Linked DNA regions of Diceros bicornis minor. The protein of the gene in region 1 purifies or fractionates together with the protein of each later gene. This does not show direct contact. Links are inferred from orthologs where the notes say so. Each region holds a gene or a part of one and is shown on either strand. Other genes may lie near its edges.

Evidence for each region.
Region 2: the proteins of FIP1L1 (region 1) and CSTF2T purify together in Homo sapiens (co-immunoprecipitation; 3 studies listed by BioGRID and IntAct, with this or other methods). This does not show direct contact. The link is inferred for Diceros bicornis minor from reciprocal best matches to the Homo sapiens genes FIP1L1 and CSTF2T.

Annotation. Positions count from the first base shown.
Region 1 is NC_080747.1:41,486,180-41,496,985, reverse strand, and holds the start of FIP1L1 (pre-mRNA 3'-end-processing factor FIP1), read right to left. Parts: upstream 4,632-10,806; 5' UTR 4,420-4,631; coding exon 4,335-4,419; intron 3,136-4,334; coding exon 3,091-3,135; intron 2,988-3,090; coding exon 2,948-2,987; intron 1-2,947.
Region 2 is NC_080745.1:52,119,647-52,130,834, reverse strand, and holds CSTF2T (cleavage stimulation factor subunit 2 tau variant), read right to left. Parts: upstream 4,437-11,188; 5' UTR 4,181-4,436; coding exon 2,315-4,180; 3' UTR 472-2,314; downstream 1-471. UniProt on the Homo sapiens protein: May play a significant role in AAUAAA-independent mRNA polyadenylation in germ cells. Directly involved in the binding to pre-mRNAs.

The DNA.
Region 1 (10,806 bases):
CTATATAAGTCAATTTAATCTCTACAGTGGTATTTCACAATACAATCTCCAAATAAAGCAAAATGAAGGACAAAAACTGAAAACTTATCTGTTAAATTTTCATTGTTCTATTGCTTGACCCAAGAAAACAAATATGCAACTATAATTCTTCAGTACATTTACCTCCTGCTTAAATAAGCTTCTAGGTAGGCAGAAAGAAGTTCAGCTTGCTTTTTATGTCACAAAACATACGTTGAGCCAAAACTTGCATAGATAGAACATGACAGATTGGAGACAGTGTAATGCAACGGTTAAAAAGAACAGAGATATTAACAATGAACTAGTCACAAAGAAGCTAGAAAAATAGTAAGGACTCTGTTAGGGTAACGTAATGATGCACCAAGCTGGATAATAGAACATAGGTTTTGGGCCGGCCCCGTGGCTGAGCGGTTAAGTGCGCGCACTCCACTGCTGGCGGCCCAGGTTCGGATCCCGGGCGCGCACCCGACGCACCGCTTCTCCAGCCATGCTGAGGCCGCGTCCCACATACAGCAACTAGAAGGATGTGCAGCTATGACAGACAACTATCTACTGGGGCTTTGGGGGAAAAATAAATAAATAAAATCTTAAAAAAAAAAAGAACATAGGTTTGGTGGAGCTCTCTTCCTCTCTTCCCCAATAGATTTTTAAAGTTTTAATTCTCTATCACCATTAAAATGCCAGAAACATGATAAAATTATATGCTTCTTCTAAAAAAATAAAATTTTAAGGGCAGATCTTTTCCATAGGATGAAATAAACTTAAGAGCTCTCCAAATAAAGTTTTAATAAGGAATATAAAGACTTTTTGACAGTGATGCTCAGGGAAAATAGAAGGCTTCTCTCCAATAAATTTAATCAAGCTGTGTACTGAGGAATTAAAATTAAAGAATGTTCAATCAGAAAATAAGTTTCGAGAATTGCAGCTAAGAATACAAACAAAAATTAATGGAATAAAGATTAGCTCATAAACAATGTGTATTTGATTGTGAATCTGTACCCTGTTATCAATTAATTTCTTGACCAATTGAAAAATGCAGTATGAAGAAATATTTAATTACTTTCATAACTATAAACCACACAAATGCCAACTTTGGGATTAAGTGAGATTAGGGTTAGGAACTAGGTTGGATACATAAATTTCAAAACTAAATGATAAAATATCAGATCATACAGCAATGAGTGGAAAAAATAGTCTTCCAATACAGGAGATATTTTTAAGTGAGGAAGAATACTCTAATTTCAGTACCCCCTAAGCTATTTCCATGTCCACTTCTCACTTCTTCCCTCCATTCACTTTTTTTAAAAATAAATTTTGAGGGCCGGCCCCGTGGCTTAGCGGTTAGGTGCGCGCGCTCCGCTGCTGGCGGCCCGGGTTCGGATCCGAGGCGCGCACCGACGCACCACTTCTCCGGCCATGCTGAGGCCGCGTCCCACATATAGCAACTAGAAGGATGTGCAGCTATGACATACAACAATCTACTGGGGCTTTGGGGGGAAAAAATAAATAAATAAATAAATCTTTAAAAATAAATAAATAAATTTTGAGATCTAATTGATATACCACACAATCCACCCATTTGAAGTGTATAACTGAACGATTTTTTGTATGTTTACAGAATAGTGCAACCATCGCAACTATGTGATTTCAGAACATTTTCCTCACCCCAAAAAGAAACTTTGTATATATTAGTAGTCACTCCCCATTTTCCCCTGTCCCCTGTCTTGGCAACTACTATTTTCTGTCTCTATGGATTTATCTATTCCATACATTTAATAAAAATAGAATCATACAATATGTAGGCTTTTGTGATTGGCTTCTTACACTTAGCATAATGTTTTCAAGGTTCATCCATTTTGTAACACATAGCAGTACTTCATTTTTTTTTTTACTACCAAATAGTACTCCAGTATGGATATACCACATTTTATCTCTCCATTCATTATTTGATGGACACTTGGGCTATTTCCATTTTCTGGCTATTATGAATAATGCTGCTAAGAACATTCATGTACAAGTTATTGTGTGGACATATGTTTTCATTTCTCTAAGGTAGACATCTAGGAGCAGAATTCCTGGGTCATATGCTAACTCTATGTTTAACATTTTGAGGAACTGCCAGACTGTTTTTCAAAGTAGCTGCACCATTTTACAATCCCACCATCAGTGTATGAGGGTTCTAATCTCTCCATATCCTTACCAACATCCGATACTATCAGTTTTTTTGATTATGGCCATCCTAGAGGGTGTGAAGTGGTATTTCCTCCACTTTTTAAATGCAAATATTCTTTAAAAGCTTTTTTTAACCACTCCTCCCCCCTTATAGGACACCAAGGCATCTGGTGAGAGTAAAGTCAGCATATCCATGTACTTGTATGCGTGAGCTGTTTTGAAATTTAGAATAAGTTTCTGGCTCCCTGTATATGTTCTGTAAACAATACTCATACCTTTCCAGTAATCTAACAAGGAGAATCAATCTCATAACAAATTCATTAATTCCACTTTGAATTTAAATAAATACAAAACACTGAAATTATAACCAAAGTGCCTTACACCCTCAAAAATATTAATTGTAAAAGCAGTAATTTAAAGGATTCTTTATTATCTAAAAAAATTTTTTAAGCTAAAATTTTTTTCTTAGTAGTCTAATGGTTACTGTATACTCCACTATTGAGCTCACTTAAGTATAAAAAGTTACTTAACAGTGAAAATTATCCAAATCCTTACTTCAAAAACTTTTGTCCCCTAAGCTACTAGCAAATAAACAGAATTAATATAAGATTAGGTCCTGAAACAAAAATAAACTCTGAATGATTCAATGTCTTTCAACCTTCAGTCAAAATGTTGTAATCAAGTCAATGATTATAAGGAGATAATTCTGACAATTTGTTAATTGAACCACTGTATCACACCAAGAAATTTCACTAACCTGGCATTTTCTTCTTCTGGCCTTTCAACTTCATTTTCATCTACCAAAAAGAATACATAAATAAATAAATAAAATTAACAAACAAACCACTCTCAAAGAAACCAGTATTATGAAAATCTGAAGTGATCATCACAAGCACTAACCTAGGTCCTTTGCCAAATCACTGTGCACATGCACGTCCCATGGGCCTATAAGCACATCCAAAGTTAGATCACCTTATAATGATGTAACAAGATATGTCTTTTATGAAAAAAAAAAATCAGACTTTACTTCTACAAAAATAAGCTTAATTTAAGAGGTATTAAAGATTTCTAGATCTTTGTAAAAGATACCCTACACATTTACATTTCAGAGAGTATTACTAATGCTAAACCTTGCCGTCAAAGATAATGAACTTATTTTACAAGTTTATCAAAATAGAAGTTTGTCCAAGCCACATCATGAAAGAGCTGCATGGTGCCCAAACGCGCACTTTTACTTTACTATTTTAAAGACATCAAAAATATACATTTTAGGTAAGGAACCAGTATTAACTTTTAAATCTAGTATCAGTAACAGAAAAGAAAGGACTGTGACTTAATGAAAGTTAAAACCAGATGTCAAACAAGTCCCTTTCAAAAGGGAAGTACAAAATGCTCTACATTTGAGGGGGAAAAAATGCACAAGACGATACTGAAAACCATTAGCCTAAGGGACATGAGGTACTTCTATCATGTGGGTTAAAGACCAGTCTCTTAAAAAAGAAAAACTTCACCTTAATACAGGAGACATTCGGGGTTTTCTTTATGGGCCATAATGTATTCCATCTCTTTCTTTCTCTCTCTCTTTCTCTTTTTTAATTAGTTATTTTTAAAGAACGACTTTCAGACAAGGAGGTACCCTTGCAGGTGCATTCCACACACACTGACCATCAAGAAACAAGACGTTAGTTTTACAGCATCAACTTTATTTAGCTATTATTACAGAATGATTGTTGCTGAAAGAAAGGGACAGGAGAGGCATCCTAGAGCCAAGGGGTAAGAGACACACCAACACAACTCAGAATAGATATCAACAAACAGAGTAAGGAGCGGAGGCGAGGCCGAGACGCCCTCGCGGGGTGGGGGGGAGGGGTGTGTGTGCGAGAGGGCTCGGGCCCTGTCCCGCGACCCCAGCCCGGCCCGGGCCGCCGCGGGGTGGGTGCGCCTTGGGGGTGTCGGCTGGGCGAGGAGGCCGAGGGGGGGCGGGGGGACGCGCACCCCGCGCTCGGCCTAAGTCAGGCCGGATAAGGCTCCGCACTGGAGGCCTCAGGCGGCGGCGTGAGGGACCCCGGACGCCCGCCGCTTGCAGGCCGGGAGAGAAGCCTGAGAGAACCCGGGAGAGAGAGAAGGGACAGGAAGTTCCGTACCGCCATAGAGCCACTCTTCCTCCTCATCCCCTCCGGTCCCGCCGCTCAGCTCCGACACTAGGCGCTCGACCTCGCCGGCCGACATGGCCGCCCCGAGCACAACTTAAAGGCGGCGATCAACAGCCCCTTGCAACCCCTTCCCCGGCCTCGCTGCCCGGGGGCGCGAGGGGGCGCGAACCCGCCGGCGAGCGAACGAAGGAAGCGCGAGACTCAAATCCACGGGGGACGGCCGCGGCGGCGAAGGCTGCAAGGGAGAGGACGCCAGCCCCCATCCGCCTGCGCACGCGCACCAGCATCCAAGCGGCGCGGCGTCTCTAGGTGGTTTCGCTTCCGCGGCGGCGGCCACCTGGGCCTGGTTGCGCGTGCGCACCGTAGTTGGCCCCGCCCCTGTGGAATCCCGCTCTGGCTTTTTAGCGTCGCTTTCTTTCCTGGCGTCCTGCGTCGGCTACGGTTCCCCGCCCCCAACGTTCCTTCTAATAACTCTATTGCCTTTGCCGAGGAGCGCTGCGTTGTTTGCTTCTGCCCTTGGTGCTTTGTCTTCTCAACCTTTCTTTCTGCTTTTTAATCTTCCGAAAGGCCATATTTCATTCTTTACATGTGTATCAGACTTGATACAGAATCGTTATCTATCAGTTCCCTGTTTCTCATTAAATAGAGAAGAAAACATAGTTCATGGCCACTTTCTTCAAAAATTAGTTTTAAACCGCAAACAAAAGCAAAACTAATACGTGAATAATGCATTCTGCTTGTTAAAATACAGCATTACGGGTCAAAGACCACCTCATCCATTACTCTCCTTTCCAGAGGTAGCCATTGTATTTGGTGGGCATCATCCTGAAATTTTCTATACATATACTTCAGGTGCATTGTATTGTTTTGGTAGGAGAACCTGAGGTTAACGATTCTTAAAAGGTACAGTACTGTATGTATCATTCTGTGGATTGCTTTTTATTTTTTTTAATTCAACAGTGTTTTGGAGATCCTTTCCATGTTAGTGTATATCAAACTATGTCCATTTTCAAGTGCTTCATAATATGCCATACCATGGTTCTCATAAAGTGAATGTGGCTATTTCCCTATTGATGTACATTTAGATTGCTTTCAACTTTTTGCTTTAAGATGCACACAAAAACTGCAATGAAGATCCTTGTAAATGACTTCTTGGGGATTTATACAAGTTTTTCTCCAAGATAGATCATAAAGTATGAGCAGTTTTTATTTTACTAGGTAATGTCAAATTTTCAAGCCACTTTTGAGAACACATCTTTCAAGATGACACATGATGGGTCAAAACTGGTGTTCTAGTTGTTAACTATAACTACCTAGTTGCATGACCTCAGGTAATCAACCTCTCTATGCTTCAGTTTTCTCATCTATAAAATGGGAAAGCTGGATTAGATGATCTCTCAAGTCCCTTTCTGTTCTAAAGTTTTCAAACAGGATGCTCACTTTTCAACAAAGTGATCTGTTTTAGTTTTAAAAATCAATCAGTGGGTTTACTTTGCTCTCTAATTAATAAATATTGTTCTTTCAGGGCCGGCCCATGGCTTAGCAGTTAAGTGCGCATGGTCCGCTGCTGGCGGCCCGGTTCCGATTTGGGCGCGCACCGTCGCACTGCTTCTCCGGCGATGCTGAGGCCGCGTCCCACATACAGCAACTAGAAGGATGTGCAGCTATGACATACAACTATCTACTGGGGCTTTGGTGGGGGTGGTGGAAATATTGTTCTTTCATTTATTTATTTAACAATTACTGAATATCTGCTGTTTAAGAACTTGGAAAATAAAGATATGAGTAAAAGAGTCCCTGCCCTTAAAGAGCTCTCAATTTATTGAGAAAGACAGAGGGGTGGTAAACAATTAATTCTTCTACAAGGGAAAAGGTGGCTATGCTACAATAGAAGCACAAATGTGTTTACATCCCACCAATACCACAGCATCTTATGGCATTTAAACAAGTCATGTGGTTTTAATCCCTCTTACCTTTGAACACTCCTCTACCTGCTATTCTCAGTCCCCCTTATCTGTTTAGGATAATCCCTTACCTCCTTCTGAACTCTGTTGAGTTATAATCAACTTTGTATGTGAAATCTTTCCTGAATTCCACTTCATCTCCTCCCATTTCTTTATTTATTCAATAAATATTTATGAATGGTCTACCAAGTGTCAGAAACTCTTCCAGGCTGTGTAGATTTGGTAATGAGTAGGGCAAAGTGCTCGTCTCATGAAGCTTTCATTCTAATGAGGGAGAGAGCCAATAACCATAAATGTACAATACGTCAAGTGATGATAAGGATTATACAGAAGAGTAAGCAGGATAGGAGGACTCAGAGCAGAATGATGAAGAGGGATAGGATGCTATGTTATATCAAGTGGTCAGGGAAAGCCACTCTGATGAGGTGATATAAGAGTAGAGACGTGAATGGAGAGAGAAAATAAGCCCTGTGGATTTCTGGGTGAAGCCTATCAGACAGAGGGAATAGGAAGTGCAAAGGTCCTGAGGCAGAGGCACACTTAAGGCATTCAAGGAACCCAAAATGTAGCCAGAGTAGAATTAGGGAGGAAGAGGATATAGATGATGTCAGAGTTATTAGGGAGTGAGTAGGGAAGAGCTAATTACTCTCTTCTAGACCTTTTGCTGCTTCTATGGCATGTATCTATCACATCATGTAGTAATTATTTGACTACATATGTGTTTTCTTAAGATTCTTCATTAGACCAAGTCCTCCCTCAAGCAGGGCTTTTTTTGTTTTTTTTGTGAGGAAGATCAGCCCTGAGCTAATATCCATGCCAATCCTCCTCTTTTTGCTGAGGAAGACTGGCCCTGAGCTAACATCCGCGTCAATCTTCCTCCACTTTATGTGGGACACCGCCACAGCACGGCCTAAGAAGCGTTGCGTTGGTGCATGCCTAGGATCCGAGCCTGGGCCAATAGCAGTGGAGCACGCGCACTTAAGCGATATGCCATGGGGCCGGCCCGAGCAGGGCATTTTTTTATATGTCACTCTCATTCCTGGCATGGTGCCTAACACTTAGTAGATCTTCTTGGCCTTTACTGACAGTAATGGAATGAAAGTTTTTATATTCTGCTTGGAGTATCATAAGGCAATCACTTATAGTCCTATTCATCTTTCTATTTATCATTCCATGAGTCTATAATGAACTTTGGTGGTTTCATGGGAGAACCAATTGTCTTTTGCTGAGCAGCCTCTTTCTCCTTTCAGATGCCTGAAATGAGCTCGTCTTTCAAGGCGTTACTTAAACTGAACTGAAGAACTGATGAATAATAATTGGTGCATCAGAATCGCCTTCATGATGGAGGTAGCATTTGAGCTAAGCTTTGAAAATGAAGATTTCCACAAGCAGAGAAGCCTATAAATCACTAATAATCACTTTTAAAAGGCCTCTTCCTTCCTTGCTTCCAATCTGAGTTCCTTGCCTGGATAAACTTCCTTAGTTAAAGGTGTCTTTATCTCCCTCCTCACCAGGGGAGACTTCAAAGACAGGTGGTTTGAAGATATTGTGTAAAATTATGACCTTATCAAACTACAATACTTCTTATATTCTGGTTATATTTGTGTTATGTTCAAATACTTTAAAGAATGTTTTTTTGGTGTGTGTGATCTGTTGGTTCTTGGCAAAAAAAAAAAACAACAACAAAGCATCAGTTTTAATATATCTATCTCTGAGAAGTACTGAAAGAGAATGCTTAGTAGATGATGATTAAAATGATAGCAAGAGGTAAAGATCAAATAAAAATGCCTTGCTAGGTATCTAGTAGTTAGCAAGTACTCATAAATGTGTTTTGAATGGATAGGACATTTAGGCTTAACTGTGCTATTTGCTGCCAATTTTAAATATGTCACTTAAATCTCAATGTTCCTCAGTTTCCTCACCAGTGAATTGATATATTAAAATAACACCTTTACACCCACTTCTTGGGAGGATAACAGAGCTAAAATGAAGTTTCAAATGTCAAATCATTTGACAAGTTAGAGGCAAGCATGTGGTGTGTTATGGTTAGACTTTTCGTCCTTTGAACAACCTGAATAATGGCACATGTATAGAGCTTTTCTTCCTCTCTAGATACTTCCATGAGGAATTAAGCCCCAATTATCCATCTTCCTCTGTATTCTGACGTATTTTAACACTAAATTTTATATTACTAGTTATTTCTGGAAAATTATATCATCTCCTATTTGCATCTACACTGTTATGTAGACTGCACACTCTTTAAGGATGAGAACAAAATTTATTTATATCTGTATTCACCAGATCCTCTTTTACAATGTCAAGCACGTGGAAAGTGCATAGTGAATCCTTACGTGTTGATCGTGCATATGGAGGAGTTTGAAATGAAGTGAAGGGAGATATGCTTGATTTTATGAAGAATGGGAAATAACTGCTGGCTGTTTTGAGCAGAGAAATACAAATCACATTTAAATAAGGTAAATCTAATGATCTTAAGCATGTAATTTTAGCAGGAATTCATTTGACTGCCATAATATCTGAGAGCAAGAAATGGAAGGAAGAAAATTCTGACACATAACGTGGATGAACCTTGAGGATATTATGCTAAGTGAAATAAGTCAGTCATAAAAGACAAATATTTTATGATTCCATTTATATGAGATATCGAGAGTAGTCATCTCATAGCAACAGAAAGTAGAATGACGGTTGCCAGGGGCAGGTGGGAGGGGGAAATGGGGAGTTGTTGTTTAATGGACATAGAGTTTCAGTTTTGCAAGATGAAAAAGTTCTGGAGATTGGTTGCACAACATTGTGAAAATAATGCTACTGAACTGTACACTTAAAAGTGGTTAAGATGGTAAATTTATGTTATGTGTATTTTGCCACGATTAGAAAAACAGAAAACAAACAAAAACATGTTCCAACTGAACTCAGTATATTTTTCCCCCAATCGGCTTCTCATCTGGTTTTCTAAATCTCAGTGATTGCCATTTACCAGTCACCCAGGCAGAAAACTGGATGTTACCCTGAAATTCTTCCTCTGCCTCACTCTTTGTCAATCCAGTAACCAGGCTTTTTGGCTCTATCTCCTTAACATTTCCTTAGACACCCTTCACTGTAGATCCCCTTTACTGGTATCCTTATCTACTCTGGCCCAAGTGGTTGCTGTTACTGTTTCTTAACTGCTCTCCCTGCCCTAAATCTTAGTCTGCTCAAATTATTGTCCATGACTTGACTAGAATCGTTTTTTCTCCTAAATTCTAGATGTGAACAAATCTTTTCCACTTCTAAAAATACTTTAATAGTTCCCCATTGGCTGCTACTGTTTAAAATCGAAAATAAGATTCATCCTGATCTACTCCGTTTTTTTTCTAGTTCTTAGCTCCTATTTCTTCTTGGGGCTTTCTTCATACAATACATTCCAGCTATACTAACCTGTAGTTCCAGAGAACATGTATGGTTTCATGCCTCTATGGCTTTGCTCATGCTGCGTTGTCTGCACGGGCTGCCAGGAATGCTCCTCCCCATCCTGTCCACCTGGTGAACACCTGGTTTTCTTTGAACGCAACTCAAAACTCATGTCCTATTTGAAACTACTTTTGACCACTTCCCTTTTTCCTTCACCCAGTCAGAATTTATTTTTCCTCCTTTGTAATTCTTGCACATTAAAAAAAGTCATTGCTTCTGTTACATTTTGTTGCACTTGCTTGCTTTACATGTGGGGGTCCTTTATCTCAGATTCTTTTGAAGGGAAGGCCATAGCTTATTTCTCTTCGTATGCTCAGTGCTCAAAGTGTCTTGAATATTGTACATGTCTGTTAAAAGTTGGTTGACTATATTATTTATTTTATGGACATGAATCGAACATTTATTCAACAAACATTTATTGAACATCTGTTATGTTCTTGTGTTGGGGATACCAGGCCTCTAGTGCACAATCTAGCAGAACAGATTTGTTAAGGAAAACAGGTACCTTAAAACTTACCTCATGATATGGCAAGTCCTTAGCAAAGGTATCAACTGAGTGTTGTGTGCTAGGTGGATGAGGAGGAGGATAGAGTGATTGTAGTGGTGATGGTGAGTTAGGAAAACTCTCACGTGGAAGATATCTTTAGATTGATTATTTTTGGTAGGAGTTTACCAGGTGTAAATTCTTTGTGGATCAGGGAATGTATTTTATTAATCATTATATCTTTGGAGCCTAGCACAGTGATTATACTTAGTAAGTGCTTAATAAATAGTAGTTGAATGAATTGAACCTATGAAACATTCTGGGCTTCATCTGTTGACTTCACTGAGCAGATATATAATGTTCCTGGCTAGAAGTAGCTGGAAAGAAATTGAGAAATCATGAAGGATTTTGGTGCCATTTTTAAGGAGTCTAGCTGTATCCTGTAGGCGATTGGGCCAGGAGAGGCTTTTAAGCAGGAAAGTGGTAGGACCAGCTTAGTATATTAGGAAGAAAACTGAATTGGATGGGGAAGAGATGGAAAGCGGGAAAT
Region 2 (11,188 bases), on another chromosome or scaffold:
AAGACTCTGATAGAATGTTTTGTCCTGTGATTTCTGCTATAGGGAATACAGAAGTGAGTAAGACAGTCCATGTTCAGAGTTCTTGATCTATTAAAAGTGGGAGTGGGGGGTAGCACGTAAAATAGTGCATTGCAATATAACAAACTCTGTTGGTAATAAAGATACCTGTAAGTAGGTGTTCCTGGGATACAGAGAAGAGTTCTCTGTGGGGAACATAAAGAAAAGAAGCCTAAGTATCCACCAAGATGTTGCTACTGATACCAACCATAGAATAACACATCTTTATAGTTATTTCAGTTGTGGAATTATACATATAATGAATCTAAGAAAGGGATTTCCATCCATACCTGCAATTTCTTTAGTTTTGCTTTTTTCATTTAAAAGAAAAAAGTATTCAGGCCCCATGGGGCTCTCAAGAATAGATAACTTTTGAATAATGCATTCATTAAAAATAAACATCAGATATTAAAGTCAGCCTTAATTGTACATTTTATTTAGTCTGCATTAAACAATGCACGGATCTTACTACAACCAAGAGCATAACATTTAATAGTTTTCAGTTAAAGCCCTTCAGTGAAAGCTTTGGGATAAAACAACTATAATTTCAAAGGAATCAAGCCAACTCGGTGAATTACTATTGCCTGGAACTATCACACATAAAGGAGAGTCATCCCCTCCAATACAGGGGAAGCATACAGAAAACAGGAGAAAGTTAACAGTATCAACAACAGTAAAAAGAGGAGTAAAACAGGTAGCAGGAAACAACAGCATAGGGATAAAAACTTTGTAAAAAATGAATTACCCATTTAAGATGTAAAAACTTTGCAAGGGGAAAATAATTCAATTTCCAAGTCTCAGCTCTCTCATTAAATGATATTTTTTCCTCTTAACTAGATATTGGTTTTTCTTCTCCAGAGTAAGATCATCTGGTTATTTGTGTGTTTATGGTTCTGTTAATTACTAGTTGGTCTATGACACAAATTTTTGTGTCTATATCCTCAAGGCTTAAAAATAAATTAGGTAGTAGCTCTAAAGAAAATGTGATAGCCCGACCTTCCTACTGATTTTTAAATGTCTCATGGGTATATATATTAGGACTCAATAACTTTATTACTTGTAAAAAGTAAAGTGAGTAATAACCAACTGAGCAGGGAATTAAGGCTACAAGAATATCTCTACCTACCTGGGCCTCAATTATTCTGATAAGATGGTGATAGATAGGTAGATTTTGAAATAAGAAAACTAAAAGGCATGTTAAATGTTGCTCAGATTAAGATTTTTAACTCCTGATTCTGGTTGACCAGATGGATACCATCTGTATATGGAAGCTAGTAACCAGCAAACTGAGAGCTCTAATGCATGAAGCCTTCCACTATTTATGAAAAGCCCAATGCTGTGTATAACTCATCCAGATCAACTGGTCCCTAGATGCTGATGTTTGGGAAGGGTGTGAGAGAATTACTCAGATTCACATTTAGGGCTTAAAGACTACTGAGAAATGGGAAGATAGTGCGAGAGATATTGACTCTCATCAGAGAAGACTTAAGTAACCCGGTTGATCCTAGAACTGTCCCAGCAAAATCATCCTGCTCAGGGCAAGGCCTGAATATTGCTGGTCCCTGAAGGGTGAGATAAATAAAACATCACATCACACCAGATGCATTCCTTGATTTTTCAGGTAGCACAGCTTTAGAAAAAAAAAATTCCAATACCACAAGCTAGACTTATCCTGTTAGCTCTAATGTTTCAAAAGAATTCCAAAACACTAAAACGATGCTTCAACTAATACGTTCTATCACCCCCAAAACAGGATTTTGTATTTTAAATGGCTTACCAAAAAATATATCTTAAAATTTTGTGGTCAATTTCTTTATTTTCTTATACAAACAAAAACCTTAAACTATCTTATTAGTACATTACCATTTTAATAGGTCATCTCTTAGTCTTTATGTGCAGTTTTCACATCATTTTACTCAGTATTTTTAAAAATGTAGTTAACATATTGTAGACATTTTTAATATTGCTGAATATTCTTTGTAATCCTATTTGGTATAATATAATCATGTTCAGAGTTATTTTTGTACATTTACAATGAATTGAACAGACCCACCCCTTCCTCCCCCTACCCCCCCAATTAAAAATAAAAAGGAAAACAGAAAAAAAGAAAAAGACAACAAGAAGAAATAAGATTAGGTTCTGGGAGGAGAGAAACTCTAATCATTCAAGTGTGGGGATGCAGAAGTCAGCTTTCTGCACCCATTCTCCATTACAAAAAAACTTTCTGGGACTACTGCTAAATATTTTCTAAAACTTTTCAAGAAGCTCCCGTAGATTTCTGGATCTGTTCCTTTAAAATCAGGATGCTCTGCCTTTGCTCAGGAGGCAGCATGGCAATCTGATCTGCAGTCAGTTGAAGAACCTGCATGATCAAAGCTGCCTTTTCCTGATCCTGGGGAGTTACTTGGCTCTGCCCAGGACTAAAACTGCTAGGCTGGCCTCCACCTTGCTTGCCTGCCCCCTGCATGCCTGTTCCTTGTACGCCCGCCCCCTGCATGCCTACTCCTTGTATGCCTGCTCCCTGCATGCCTGTTCCTTGTATGCCCGCTCCCTGCATGCCTGTCCCTTGTATGCCCGCTCCCTGCATGCCTGCTCCTTGTATGCCTGCCCCCTGCATGCCAGCTCCAGGATTTCCCACCCCTGAAATGCTTGGGACCTGTCTGGGTCCCTGAGGACCACCTGCCCCCATATTAATGGGTCCAGGACCCTGGATTCCACCAGTCATAGGGCCTCTCGAACTAGGACCAGGGCCCCTTATCTCCATTCCTCTTGCATCCATGCCTCTTGCTTCCATTCCTCTGGTTTCCATTGCACAGGTCTCCATTCCTCTTCTCTCCATTACTCGTGTCTCCAAGACCTCAGTTTCCATGGCTCGAGTCTCCATCCCTCGAGAATCTCTACTACCTCTGCCATCCATAGGTAGGCCCCTTTGATCTATCATAGGTCCTCTGGGCTCTCCAATTAGCAGTCTGGGATCTGCTAATGGCCCTCCCCTCATCTCATGTGAAGAAGGGCCACGGTTGTCATGACCAGAGGCATGGTGCATAGGGGGACCCTGATGAGGTGGACCAAGATAGCCTCTGGGCTCTACTTCTCCAGTGACTGAAAGCAAAGTCCCTCCACGTGGGTCATTGGGAGCATCTCCTAACAGTCCTCGAGGAGGCAGGCCACCAGCAGTCATGGGTCCACGAGGCATAGGCGCTCTAGGATCCGACATCTGCACCTGTCCTCGCTCTAAAGGCACCGGACCAACCCCTGGCATTCCAACTTGGGGCTGCATTGCTCCACCAGGAGTTAAGGAACCGGGACCAGGTCCAGGAACCCCGGCTGGTATTGGCCCCGGGGCTGGAATTCCACCCTGGATCGGGGTCTGCATCAGAGGAGGGATGTCTTTCACAGGTCTTCTAGCCAGATGCTGAGGCTGAGGGGCTGGAGGATTCTGCTGGTTGAGCAGAACATTAGGGCCTGGGCATAGCCCAGGACCCGGGCCAGGGCCGGAGACAGACTGAGATTTGCCTGGGATGAGTGGTGTGACATGTATCTTGCGATGCAGAATTTTCAGAGCAATCTCTGGATCCATGATTCTCATCACTACTTGTGCCTGCAACAGTGCATAAGCCAGCTGTGGGTTTTGAAGTAACATGTTTCGAGCTTCCTGGTGGCTGTTTTGGACACAGAGCTTCATCTGCTTCATCAGCTCAAACATCTGCTCCGGGGGGAGACTAGCAACTGCTCTGGTAATTGATTCTGGGGCATCTTCTGGATCGATGGGATCCCCATAGGGTGAGTCAATGATGGGCGCTGCAGGCCCTAGGCTCTTTAACTCCTCCTTGTTCTTCTCACTGGCAGCATTGTCCACCCGAAGCGCTCTCCCGCTGAACTCCCGCCCGTTCAGGTTCCGCATGGCACTAAGCGCGGTTTCCTGGTCTTGATACTCGCAGAAGCCATAACCCTTGGGTTTTCCGGTCTCTCTATCGTACACCAGCCGGAAACTGACAACAGAACCAACCTCTGAGAAAATGTCCTTTAACTGCTCCTCAGTTGCCTCATACGGAATGTTCCCCACGAACACGGAACGCAGTGATCGATCCATTGCTGGGTCTCTCACCGCCAAGCTCGACATGATTCCGGTTGTGCAGACACGGCGGAGAACGGATTCTTCCCAGAGTCGTCCTCTTGCGACCCACACTTCCGCTGAGCAACGGAAGCAGCTTTTAAACTCCGGGCAGAAACCTCAGTAGTCGGCTTGAGTCGTTCCGCGAAATCTGCGCCTCTTTGTTCCACTAACTTAATTAGCTAATGCTTTTTGCCCTTGATCGTTTGTGGTTCTGTCAGCTCCTTCTTACCCAGACGCAGGATTCCTTTCTCGTCTCTTAATCCGCAGACTTTCCATGGCGCGCCACCACCCCCGCCAGGAAAAGCCCGGTGCGCCTTGACCCCAGTAAAGATGGCCGCATAGACTTCACCATGGTAACCAGCAGAGGCGGCCTCCTTTGACGTCAAGGGCGGCTTTGTTTCGGTTTGCCGGCGGGAAACCGCCAACCGAAAGCTAAGGCGGTGTGTTCTTCGTTCTGCTGGAAGGGTTTTCGTATAGCAGTGTCTCCTTATATTTAAGCTATATTTAAAATCACATTCTAGACCAAGAGGGGAAAGTGTAGTCGTTTCAAAACAGATTTGGGATTTGCTCCTGAAAATACAAAAGTAATCGCTCCGTTTTAGAAAAACATTTTTGGAAAATACCTGCCCCGAAATACACGCCGCGCAAATGAGCCTGCTCCATCCATCCCCCCCCCCCCCATCTGGTTGCTTCGGATAACCGCTGTTTGATAGGCGACGGGACCGGCCGGGTTTTCCTCTGTGCATCCAGGCAGCAGTCGAGCTATTCATAGTATTACCCTTTTTTCCCTTAATTATATTAAGTGGTTAATAATAAATAGCATTTAAAGACTGCAGAGCGTGAATTAAATGAATTTATTCTTATACTGGAGGCATTTAGATTGGTTCTGATTATTATAAACTGAGGCAATGATCTCACACCTCTACTATGAAGGGAAAAACAAACTGTAGTTGTTTCTAGTCTGTTAGTTTTGCCGGCAGAAGTTGAAACATATGTGGAGCCTAGGTTTTTTCCTCCGTTTAACAGACGATAGAACTGAAACTTGGGGAGACCTAGGTAATTTGCTAAGCAGCCAGTAAACGGCAAAGCCAGAATTCTTATGCCGGTTGGTCTGTTGTAGCTCCAGAGCTGCGCTGCTGCATGTGGCAGCCGCCAGCCACTTGTAGCTATTGGGTACTTGAAATGTGGCTAGTGTGATTAAGAAATTGAACTTTTAATTTTATTTAATTTTTATTAATTTAAATATAAAAACTGATTCAGTTAGGCTAATGGAAAACTTTTTAGGATGTTTGGGTATGGAATCTACTTTTGCAATGATAAATTTTATTAAATCAAAATAAAAATCAAGTATTTACAGTTAAAATTTAGCATTCTGATTGGGATGTGCTATACGTGTAAAATACATGCAAGATTTTGAAGACTTAGGTATAAAAAAAGTTAAAATATGTCTAATTTTGTATTGTTTACATGTTGAAATGATATTTTTAATATATTGGATTAAACAAAATATATTTTAACATTAATATCACTCATTTCACTTTACTTTTTTTAATGTAGTTACTTAGAAAAATTAAAATTATATATATGTATTGCATTATATGTTTATGAACTGCACTGTTCTAGAGTCTGTCTTACCTCTTAATTCTACATATGCCCTTTGAGGAGCTTATGAAACTTTGTTTCATCAAAAAATTGTGTTATGTTCTTGGGTGTCATAGTCCAATGAATAGATCTGAAATGATGGGTTTAGCTACAATTTAGACAAAACATCCATTTACCTTCAAGTGTTTTAATAATTCTTTAAAACAGGCTTGGACATAGCTATTTACTCAAGGTGCATGATAATTTATATCTGCAAGTAATAAAGTGTATTTATATGACCTAATAAAATCTTCCTGGTACGTGAAAGAAACAGAATAGCCACTTGCTAGTAATGGTTTTTCCCTCCTGATTCTTTTATTGGAGGTGGGGCAGGGGTGGAGAGAAGTTGAGGATGGTATTATTTTGGAAAACTAAAAACAAGTCCATTTGTCTAAAAACAAGTCCGTTTGTCTCCTTTCCGTACTATCCCTTTGCAGAGAGAAGCCATGACTTTTCTACACACAATCTGTCAAGGACAACTTAGACATCGGTCATGTGTGTAATTGTGTGTGTATTAAGTGTAGTAATCTTAAGGATAATAAGAGGCTATTAGAATAAGTTGTAAAGTTCATGATAGGTTGCACAGCTTATTTGACAGAGTTTCTTTGCTGGTGCTGATAGTATCTAAACAAGTGGTCCTCACACTTCAGCATGTATCAGAACCACCTGGAGCCTGGTTTGTTAAGTCAGATTGCTGGGCCTCACCACTGCCCCGCCTCAGTTCTGATTCAGTGTTTCTAGGGTGGGACTGGAGAATTTGCATTTCTAACGAGTTCTCAGGTGATGCTGATGCTGCTGGTTTGGGGACCCCCACTTTAAGAATCATTGATCTAAACGAAAGGACTTGAAGTAGTTTTGTTTTGTTTTGTTTTCGGTTTATGTCAGGCCAACGTAAATTTAGTACACTGTTAAAAGGTATGAGATATGAGTGGTCTTTAAAAAATCTATTAATATTTTAATGCTGATCCAGTATAGCTAGTACATGCTGATCCCACACTGAAGATACTCTGGGCACAAAGGATGCGTGAACAGAGTAGCTGAGGAACTCTGGGGATGAACAAGAAGGGAGAAGGCATCACTGTAAGAGTGTGATTTTTGTCACAGGCCTTCCATGTTCTGTTTAGTCCCCCTATTCAAAACCAGAAGAATGGTTTAATATGGCCCTTCAGAGAGGACCATTGTGACCCAGCACATAGCTCAATGCCCAGGATGCATAAGCTAATATTTATTAGTAACTGAGTGGCCCAGAATTACCAAGAGCTGTTAGGAACCTGTGCACGTTTCCTGGTACCAATACATACTTTTCATAGATCTACCTTGGAAGAACTTTCATTTTATACTGCTTTCTTTGTTCCCAGGATGTTTAAACTTTAGATTTTTATAGCATGGCATATACTTTGAAGAAAAATGTACATGGCATCTTGCATGTTCAAACATTGATTCTTTCAATAAATCAAAATATCAACTGTACTAAGAATGATTTTTAAACAAACACATCAGAGCATATGGCCAAGTGGGAGCTGTTCTTCAAACTAACCACCTTCAGAAAGTATAAACATAATCCATAAGGCTTCCATTGTTCAAGTGAACTCCTACCCTGAAATTGTTTTAGGGCTCCATTTGAAAGTCATACTAGAAAACTGCTGCCTTAACTCAAAGGTATACCTTGTTTTCAACCAAGAGTTATGCAACTAAATCACCTAACTTTCTGACCAGACTTGGCAAAAATATGATATTTAGCTATTTCCAAACATCAAAACTTATATCAGAATACAAAGATTCTGTAGACTTGCAGGTATTAAAAAAGATTCACCATAGATTAATTAGACAAATTCCAAAACGAGGTACTAAAAATATTTTTAGTTATGACAGGCATTTTTGAAATAAGTGTATGGGTCCTTCAAAGAATAGATCAAATACACTCCCCGATGAAGTTCTCTCTAATCTTACTCCTTCTTCCTCTAGGTTGAAAGTGAGTTCATTTTCCTTTGGATATAAACCATTCCTTATCCATACCTTTCTGATGATAGTAACTCTTCTACTTTTTAGTAGAATTATGATTTTTCCTTCTAAACTATGACATCATTCAAGGAAAGAGCTAGATTTCCCTTTGTCAATTAACAAAGTGACATATTTATTCTCTTCCATAAATATTTATTGTAAGCACTGGCAATACTGCAGTGAAAAAGATAAACATTCCACTAGAACATAGATTCTGTAAGTGTTCAGTAACATGAACATCACCTAGAAACATCTTAGAGATGCAAAAGTTCCGGCACCACTCCAAACCTACTGCATCAGAAACTCTTGGTGTGCGTGTATGTGTGTGTACAGAAATCTGTGGGTTTTTTTTTTTGTGTGTGTGTGTGTGTGTGTGTGTGTGAGGAAGCTTAGCCCTGAGCTAACATCTGTTGCCAATCCTCCTCTTTTTGCTGAAGAAGATTGGTGCCGGCTAATATCTGTGCCCATCTTCTTCTACTTTATATGTGGGACTCCTGCCAAGCATAGTTTGATAAGTGGTGTGTAGGTCCACACTTGGGATCTGAACCTGTGAACCTTGGGCTGCCAAAGCAAAGTATGGGAACTTAACCACTAGTCCACCGGGCCGGTCCCCAGAAATCTGTGGTTCAACAAGCTCCCCAGGTGATTCTAATGCAGGCTAAAGTTTGAGAACCACTGAACTAAAGGGAGACAATTATAGATAGGTAGGTAGGTAGATAGATAGATACATAGATACATTGTCTTCTTCTCCACTGTATCCTCAGCACCTAGGATAGAGCTTAGCACAGGTGGGTGCTCATTGTATGTTGAATGAATGATGGGAGGTGACCTTCGAGTTAGCTAAGTCACAAATTCTTCATTTTACGCAAGAGGAAACCTGTAGCATTAAAAGCATGCCCAAAATCAGAATAGGGGCCTGCTGTCAAGACCCTTGTCATTTTATTCCTAGGTCAGTGATAGTTCTTTCATGTTACTGTTTGATAAAGTAGATATGTAATGAAGTATGTAGAGATTGAAGAGAGTGATAAGGTCTAGATCATCAAGGAAGGCTTCCTAATGGAGCTGGGATTTAAGGGATGGGTTATAATCTGGTATGTATAAACAAAAGATGAAGAGACTAAGCCAGGAGCTAGGAATAGCCAAGACATGAAATTGAAACCTAGTGTTTTTGATGCCCCCAGAGGAAACCAATAGAGAGTTCGTGAGTAGTGTGATAAAAGATTGTCTTTTGGGACAGATTACAAAAGGTTTTGAAGATCAGATTCATGAATCTAAACTTGATGTGAGAGTCAGTAGGCTTTCTTCCATCTTTCTGAATCATGAACATAGAATAAAAATGGCAGAGGTTTAAGAATACCAATTTTATCCAGTCCTTCTCCATGATATCTTTTGCACTTGGACTATCCTTTTTACATCATTATAATTTTTTAATCTAATGTAGCAGTGGCTCTTCCTGTATTTAACATCTTCTATAACATGGCTTCATTCTCATTACTCACTTGCCGCCTTCATATATTCTCCTCTGGCTAAATTGTACCCCTCATTTTTCACCACACATGATCTGTGCTTTTCCACCTTCTAGCTTTTGCTCCTAGCTTTTGATCTACTATTCCTTCTTTGAGGATGTCTTCTTTTCCGTCTTTCTCTCCTCATCTCTCCATGTCTAAATCCTTCTTGTCCTTCAGTTCTCACCCTAAAGACTTTCTTTTTAAAGTAGAGTATTGATTTGGCACCCATTATTTTCTATATTGTAATAGAGGTGCTAGTATTCTTGTGTTACCACTTAAGCACAGACCCATATCTGATTTATTTTGTTCATATTGCTTAGCCCAGTGCCTTTTATATTCCAAGCACTCAGTAAATATTTTTAAAATTAATACAAAATCATCTTGTAATAACAGATTACATGTTAACAAAATGATAATTTAATGCTTTCAGCTTACAGAACACTTTTCTTTGGGCTCCCACATCTGATCTTGACAACAATCATGTGAGGTATATACAGTTGTATTCTGATTTTAAAGATGTTTTAACAGAGAACTGTTACCTAGAACTTTAACAATGGACTCACTCAAAATACAGATACTATTCATAAAAGCTAACTCTGATCACTTAATAGGAAGGAGTTCCTCTGATAAGTGCTTTATAAAATACAATATTTTATTTAATCCTTTCAACAACCCTTCTGAGATAGGCAGTCATAGTGTCTGAATTTATAACTAAAGAAACAGAGGCACAGAGAGGTTAACAGAGTGCCCATCATAACTGGCAGAGCCAGGTTTTGAACATACATCATTTGACTCAAGAACTCAAGCTCTTGAATTATTATTCCATTAAATGAGTTTATCAAGGAGACATAGCTAGTCAGTGGCAGAGCTACAGCCTGAAATTAGTTCTCTTGATTTTAAACCTCCTACTTCATAATTAGTGTGGTATTGAGGCCTGAACACAATCTCCCTTGGCCTTTTTACTGATTGTCTCTGAGTGTAACTAATTGCAATTTTGACATCACAATCAGTGCTGTGGCAACAGATGGACTATAAGGTCTAAAGACTAAAGCGAGGGAGAAAATGTTTCCTTTTGCAATTTGCATGGCTGTAGTTAAACATCACTTAAGGATTTTTAAAAATATCTAGTTAAATGGATACAAATACGTTTTCCATAAAATGAAAGAGCCCAGATTTCTCAAACCCCAAATTAGGTTGGTCTGTGACATTTTCTCCCAATTTTTAAATATATTTATTATGAAACAATGTACAGAGGAAGAAATAGTAAATTTCATTACTTATACATGAGATGAATCACTTTTATTGGCAAGAGGAAGATTACATGAATTTGGGACTGCTGGGAATATGCCATTCCAGGGCTGGAGGTTGGACAGAACCAAATGTTCTCCTTGGAAGCGATTGTGTTGTACAACCTCGTTTTTTTAATATATGAAGAAAATAAAGTCTAGGGAAGACAAGGGACTCAATCAGGGTCAGATGCCTAGTTATTGGCCTAGCTTGTAATGGGATCTAGATCTTCAGACTTCCTCATCCAAACTATGCTCTCAGCACTTCTTAGGGGTAGTAGAGTGAAGAAGTTAAGAATATAGACTTTGAAGTCAGAGAGACTTGGGTTGGCTGCCTAGTTCAACAAGTAACTGTGTAGCCTTAGACAAATTACTTAACCTCTCTGTGCTTCCATTTCTGCATCAATTAAGTGGGAACAATATCACTTGTATTGGATTGTTGCATGGAATACATAACGTATTTGTTTTTATTGTTATTTTGTATGGTAATTATTAGTCTACACTTGTTATATAGAATTAATAGTAGCAGATGAAGCAGCATCTTAAGTGGAAAGAGACCCAAATTTTAGTCTAATGCT